2 linked regions of the Oryctolagus cuniculus genome follow. The protein of the gene in region 1 interacts with the protein of each later gene in a biochemical or structural test. Links are inferred from orthologs where the notes say so. Each region holds a gene or a part of one and is shown in the gene's direction. Other genes may lie near its edges.

Region 1 (3,567 bases):
CAACCCACCAGATAAACTTTGAAAACCACAAGTGGATCAAGAACAACAATTTAAAAAGATACTGGTCTAAAAGACTGAGTTCTGTAAAGGCTGCAACTGATCTTGGGTGGGTTTGAAGAAGGAGGCAACACTAAGTCTTACCAAATGGCTCAAGAGATGATTCTGTAACAAAGGAGTGCTGTAGAGCTGTGTTGAGGCACATGATTTCCTTACATTGATGAGACACACAGTAGCCAGCCACAGCTGGAAGCCTTTTTTACCCAGTTTCTATTCAGGCTTGAGACCTGGTGTACCTGTGTATTGCATATTCTTTTGGAAGGAGGACAAGGAGAAAATTTAGGTTTCTGAAAGGTGAATGGAGGTAACTTGATACTGATTTGATTTTCTTCTATCTTGTCTTTTAGGAATTCAAAAACACACTAACCAGGTGAGTGAGCCTAACACTTTCTTGGGCCTCTCTGTGCTGCTCTTCTCCTTTCTCACTGAGAACTCTCTTTGTTTTTCATCTCCTGGCCTCTTGTTTGCTGGTCCCTTCAGCTTGCTTACCTGGCCCCTTTCTGAGGTGGCTTCAGCTTGCTTACCTGGCTCCCTTCTGAGGTCCAGCTTTCTCTTTTCCACCTTTCTGCCAAGAGGACCATGTCATCCTAGTCTTCATAGCCCAGGGGGCATGAGATACTGTTCTTGGGCCTTCCTCAGGGTCCCTGTCCTGCAGGTGCAGCAATGTGCCTGGCCCCAAGCCAACTACAGTCTCTTCTGAGTTGAAGAATAAGGTCTGGAATGTTTCCCTCAAGACTTTTGTCTTAAAAGGGCTGCTGAAGAAGTTCAAAGGTAGGGGCCTTGGTGTGGGTCAGGCCATGAAATGTGGATGGCAGTGGTGTGTGTGGTACTTCAGGGGTCCTGAGTGTACCTTTTCCAGAACCTGTGAGAGAAAACAAAAACTGGGGTGTGGGGAGGCCCTGGTGGGAAATCTATTCAGCTTCCCTAGGACACAGAAGAATGAGGAGGAAGAGCTAGGTCAGACCAGCTCCAGGCAAGAGAGGGAATTGGGGGAGGCAGAACTAAAATGCCTGGGCAGCTGCCCCCACCTACCCCTCTCATGCTTGGTCCAACAGCTGCATATCAACTCCTGGTCTCTAGAATACCTAGGGAGGGAGGGAGCTGATGGAATTTAAATGTCAGAAAAGGTGGCGTCCTTGCCAGGCAATCTCTTTTGTCATTTGTACTTTGAATTTTTCCCTTAGAGGATCTTCGAGGAGAACTGGAGAAGGAGGAGAAAGGTATGGACAGGGATTACGATGGTGAGTGCAGAATCCATTTCCTGCCTGTGACTTGCCTCAAGGACCCTGCCAGTCTGCTTTCTTGTTCCTTTTGTCCTTGCCCTGTCAATTTTGATGACCTCATCAAGCAGTGGGGCCTGTTGGCCTGTAAGCTGTGGGTCAGTTAGGAGTAGGATTAGGGGAAGCTTGTCAATTGTCTGGATAAACCTCTGTCCCCTGTCCCTGCTTCAAGACAGAGAATGTCTCTCCTGAGGATGGGGGTTTTATGCTGACAGGGACCCCCAACAGTTCGAGGCCTGGCTGCTCCACTTTCAATCTAGCTCCCTGCTATAGCCTGGGAGGGCAGTGGAGGATGGCCCAAGTCCTTGGGCCCTGCACACACATAGGGGACCTGGAGGAAGCTCTGAGATCCTGGCTTTGGATTGGCCCAGATCTGGCTCAGGCCTTCGTGACCATTTGGGGAGTGGACAAGCAGATGGAGTATCTCTCTCTCTCTGCCTCTGCCTCTGCCTCTCTGTGACTCTGCCTTTCAAATAAATAAATAATCTTAAGAAAAAAAAAGAAAAAAATAAGTTCAGCAGGAAGTCAGGTCAGTGATCCCATATGGTAACAGGAAGGAGGATAATTCTTATTCCTGCAGAACTCTGGAATGTGTGGGATCCAAACTGAAAGGAAGGGAGTAGAAGGCACACAATCCTGATGCTGATGGACAAAGTCAGAGTTTCCCAAGGTAGAATGTAAACCAACTGAAATGATGCTCCTCTTATGCTCAGAGCCTTGCAATGGTCTTTCTCACTCAGGAAAGGCCTTCAAGTCCTTAAGGGGACTGCCCTTACTGTATACTCTCCTCTTCACTTACTCTGAAGCTGCACACCCTCCTTGTTATACCTAGAACGCACCAAGTACATACCTACCTCTGGGCCTTTGCACTGCAGTGGCTGCCTGGCTTCTTTTCTTTTCTTTCTTTTTCTTTTTTTCAGATTTTTTTGTTTGTTTGTTTGAAAGTCAGAGTTACAGAAAGAGGGAGAGACAGAGAGATCTTCCATCCACTGGTTCACCCCCAAATGGCCACACAGCTAGGACTGGACCAGGCTGAAGCCACGGGGGTCACAGATTGGAGCCCATATAGGATTCTGGCATTGCAGAGTGGCTTTACCAGCTATCCACAACCCTGACCCTACTGGCTGCCTCTTGGCCTGCAACACGCTTCCCCCAGATAGCTGCTTGGTTGGCTTCCTCATCTTTTTTATGTCTTTGCTTACCAATAAGACCTACTCTGGCCATTCAAGTTGAAATTGCAACCTGTTATCTTGATTCTTCTTAACTTCTATGTTGATCATTTATTGCCTCTTTCCCTACTAGAAAATAAGCTCCAGGAAGGTAGAGATACTTAGCTGTTTTATTCTCTGTGGTTATTTGCAGGGCCTAGAACAATGCCTGGAACATAGTAATGCTCAGAATAAGTGTATATATTCGAAATTTTTATTATGAAAAATGTGGGGGCTGATGTTGTGGCACAGTGGGTTAAACCACTGCCTGTAATACCAGCATCCCATATTAGAGAGCCAGTTCAAATCATGGTTATTCCACTTCTGATCCAGCTCCCTGCCAATGTACCTGGGAAAGTAGCAGAAGACAGCCCAAGTGGAAGTTCCAGGCTCCTGCCTCAACCTACCCTAGTCCCTGTTGTTGTGACCATTTAGGGAGTGAACCAGCAGATGGGAGATCTCTTTGTCTCTTCCTTTCTCTGTGTCACTCTGCCTTTTAATAAATAAATCTTTAAAAATTTTTAAGAATAAAAGTGGAGAAGAGAGCATAGCAAATGTATGAACTATAATATATCATCAGCAGTTATCAATTCTTGGCTAATATTTTGATAATCATCACTACCCGTTTCTTCCTACTGATTATAAAGAAAATAACAGATAACAAATCATTTCCATAAACATCCTAGTATGTTCTCTCTAAAGACAGACTTTTAAAAACAACCACAAAACTATCATCACACCTAGAACAATTAATGATTCTCTACAGTATCTAGTGTTCCAATTTCTCCAATTTTCTTTTTCATACTTTATTTATTTTCACTTTTTTAATTGAAAGGCAAAGAGACAGTCAGGGTTGGGCCAGGTTGAAGCCAGGATCCTGGAATTCTATCAGGATGTCCCACATGGGTGACAGCGACTGAGTACTTGGGCCATTATCTGCTGCCTCCCAGGATGTGCGTTAGCAGGAGGCTGGTTGGGAAGCAGGGGAACTAGGACTGTAACCAGGTGCTCAGATTTGGGAT
Region 2 (3,423 bases), on another chromosome or scaffold:
GTGGGTTGTCCCTTGGTTTCAGGAGGGTACTGCTATAACATGGTATACCCAGGCTGGGTGCTGTATAAAGAAGAGATTTCTTTTTTTCTTTTCTTTTCTCTCTCTCTCTCTCTTTTTTTTTTTTTTTTTTTTTTTAAGATTCTTAATTTTTATTTGAGAGGTAGAGTTACAGACAGGGAGAGACAGAGAGAAAGGTCTTCCTCTGCAGGTTTGCTCCCCAAATGACCACAACAGCTGGAGCTGGGCCGATCTGAAACTAGGAGCCAGGAGCTTCTTCTGGGTCTCCCAAGTGGATGCAGGGGCCCAAGCACTTGGGCCATCTTCCATTGCTTTCCCAGGCCACAGCAGAGAGCTGGATTGGTAGAGGAGCAGCCGGGACTTGAACTGGCGCCTATATGAGATGCTGGCACCACAGGTGGAGGCTTAGCAGACTGCATCACAGTGCCAGCCCAAGAAGAGATTTCTTTCTTTTTTAGATTATTTATTTGAAAGGTAAAGTTAGATCTTCCATTCGCTGATTCACTCCCCACATGGTGTCAATGGCCAGCACTGGGCCAGGTGAAGCCAGGAGCCAGAAGCTTCATCCAGGTCTCCTACATGTGTGCAGGGGCCCAAGTGTTTGAGCCATCTTCCCGTTTACCCAGGTACATTAGCAGGGAGCTGGATTGGAAGTGGAGCAGCCGGGACATGAACCGGCACCCACAGGGGATTCTGGCTTTACCTGCATGAGCCGGCCCAAGGAGAGATTTCTGAAGTTTGTAGTTTTGGAAACCAAAAGTCCAGGATAGCGCGGCCCCCTTGTGGGCCCTGGTGAGACGCCCTTGCCAGAAGGAAGGAAGCAGCACACTCAAGGGCCAGCCTGGCGCTTTGTAGCCAGGTCTCTTGGACAGTGTCATCCTCTCTGAGGGCAGTGCCCTCATTGCCTCCTGACGATGCGCTGTGCCCCCAGCCTCAGCTTGCAGCTGGAACCCTCAGGGACACCCTCAAGCCAGAGCAGGGAGCGTCTTCCCCATGAGAATTTCATCTGTTGTAAGAAGCAGAAGGCAGGCCAGAGTGAAATTCTTGTCTCTGCCATTTTTCTTAAATGCTGCAGGGCTGTCAGCCCCCCAAGAGCCAACAGTGGTTTCCCCAGGCTGGGGCAGCTGACTGTGGGCGGGAGGGGCTTCGGTGCTCCAGGAGCTGAGGACCGCTGCCTGCCCTGCCCCTGCAGGGACACGTGATGGACCGCAGGAAGAAGGCCCTGACCGACTACAAGAAGCTGCGGGCCTTTTTCGCTGAGGAGGAGGCGCACTTCCTGCAGGAGGCCGCCAAGGAGGAGGGCTCCCCGGAGGACGAGCAGGCCGACCCCGCCGAGCGGTTCCGCTCCCTGCTGCAGGCCGTGTCGGAGCTGGAGAAGAAGCACCGGAACCTGGGCCTCAGCATGCTGTTGCAGGTGCGGGCGGGGCGGGGAAGAGCCTGCTGGCTCCAGAGCAGACCTGAGGCTGGTGCTGAGGGGGCTGCCGGCAGGCTGACCGGCCAGAGAGCGGGCCTTAAAGCCGCACCCTGTCGTCCACTCAGCATCGAGGGTCCTGGGTGTCTCTGGCTTCTCACGGGAGAGGGCCTTTGCACCCTGAGCTCTGGGTGCTCACTGTTGGTGCTGCCTCACCCTCTGCCCTGAGGCCTGACCTCACCTGGTTGCTTGGGCTTTGCGCACCTGGGCCAGGGCTGTGGGAGGGGAGCGGGACCAGCAGCCTCCTGTGTGAGGTGCTCTTGCCCCTCCAGGTCAGTTGTGACGACTGTGGGTAGCCAGGTTTTGGCCGTGGGGGGACAGAGATCTGGGCCTGGGGGGCTCAGTGGAGGTGGAGGTGTCTCTGTGCCTCACCAGGGAGGAACTCCCGGCTCTGTCTTCTCTCTCTTGCTCTCTCTCCTGACTATCTTCTTTCTTGCTGCCTCTCTCTCTCCGCCCTCTGCTTCTCTCCAACTCTGTTTTCTGCTCCCCGCCCCATGCAGTGACGTCGCTGATGCAGCAGGCGGTTCCCTGCGTAGCTCACGCAGAAAGCACCGCCTCCCACAGCTGGCCCTCCCCTGAGACGCCACCCCCTCCATCTCCGTGGGCACCGTCAGTGATGGCCGAGGACGATGCTCCGCAGGTGCCCCCTCCCCCCGCCGCCCTGGGTTTCCCTGCACAGTTACCTGTCTCAGCAGAGTCTGGTCTTGGGGCATGGACGTGAGACTAGTTGTCGCCCCTACCCCAGGCATCCTGTTCACACTGCCCCCACAACCTGTTCTCCCGTCAGAGCCCCTGCTCCTCACCTCGTCCCCGGATGGCTGAGGTTCTTGGCTTTGCCCCAAGGGTCTCAAACCCTGTACCTTCCAAAGGGTGCCTAGGATGGAGCTGTCCCATGGGACCCTCATCCTGGCCTGGGATCCCTGGGAGGTCCCTGGGGGGAAGCCGGGACTTGAGACTTTGGGCACGGGGAAGGGAAGGTTCTCCGCCCTTCCTGCGGGTCCCCCTGCCTGCATCCCCCTCCCAGCTCCCGACTCTGATTTCTCCTCCATCTGCCCCGATGCCAAGGCCTCCCAGTGCCCCTTCCCTCCACCTTCCCCAGGGTGCCGGGGCTCCCCCATGCTTCTGCAGCCCCTCCCTGCCTCGTCTGTCTCTAGCGTTTCTCACTTGTGTTTGCAACACTCGTGGCGTGGCCATGGTGTGGCTGTGGCGCTCACATGTCATCAGCACAACTGGCAGTCGCCCAGCAGAGTCCTCAGAAAGTCGAGGTCAGGGAGCGTAGATGTGGGCGAGTGTTTAGATTCACCGCCCCTGACGTTTTCACGGGCCCTTAGGAGTCCCACCCTGACAGTCTGACCTGCTCCTGCTGCTGCGTGGGCTCTCGCTGCTAAATAAAGTGGGTTTGCCCTGGCCTGTTTGCCTGAGTCTGTGGGCAGTGTGGGTGTGTCCAGGGCCTCCCTTGCCACAACCCTTGTTAGGGACGGTGAGGCTGGGTTACCATGGGGCTGTTGTGAGAGGGACAGGGACCACTGCTGCCTGGACAGTCACCTGCACTCCAGACACAGCTGGGCAGGTGCCTTTCAGCCAGGAGCAGGGTGGGGCGTGGGTAGACGGTGACCCCTTCCTCCTGACAGAACGTGAGCTGTGAGGTGGGATTGAAGTTGCAGCTCTGAAGTCGGCTGTGTGGGGTAGAAATCTGGAGCTGAAGCCCCAAGTGCAAAACCACTGCGGGAAGAGGAATGGCCAGTCAGAACTAACTCCCACAGGGCACTGACAGTCTCTGAAGTCTGGGTTTATTTTTACAAGACTCCTTTTGTAAAAACAAGTCGACAGATTTCTTTAAAAATCAGAACGCTGGGGCTGGTGTTGCAGCACCGCAGGTTAGGCCTCCCCTAACCCAGTGCTGGTTCAAGGCCCAGCTGCTCCACTTCCTGCTA

What was found. The genes of interacting proteins can lie anywhere in the genome.
Region 2: the proteins of TRIM7 (region 1) and RNF187 interact in a test that uses a peptide from one of them, tested with the Homo sapiens proteins (2 studies listed by BioGRID, with this or other methods). The link is inferred for Oryctolagus cuniculus from reciprocal best matches to the Homo sapiens genes TRIM7 and RNF187.

Annotation. Positions count from the first base shown.
Region 1 is NC_091445.1:34,889,184-34,892,750, reverse strand, and holds part of TRIM7 (E3 ubiquitin-protein ligase TRIM7), read left to right. Parts: intron 1-404; coding exon 405-427; intron 428-696; exon of another isoform or gene 697-712; coding exon 713-828; intron 829-1,241; coding exon 1,242-1,298; intron 1,299-3,567. UniProt on the Homo sapiens protein: E3 ubiquitin-protein ligase that have both tumor-promoting and tumor-suppressing activities and functions in several biological processes including innate immunity, regulation of ferroptosis as well as cell proliferation and migration.
Region 2 is NC_091437.1:510,687-514,109, forward strand, and holds the end of RNF187 (E3 ubiquitin-protein ligase RNF187), read left to right. Parts: intron 1-1,210; coding exon 1,211-1,432; intron 1,433-1,989; coding exon 1,990-1,992; 3' UTR 1,993-2,897; downstream 2,898-3,423.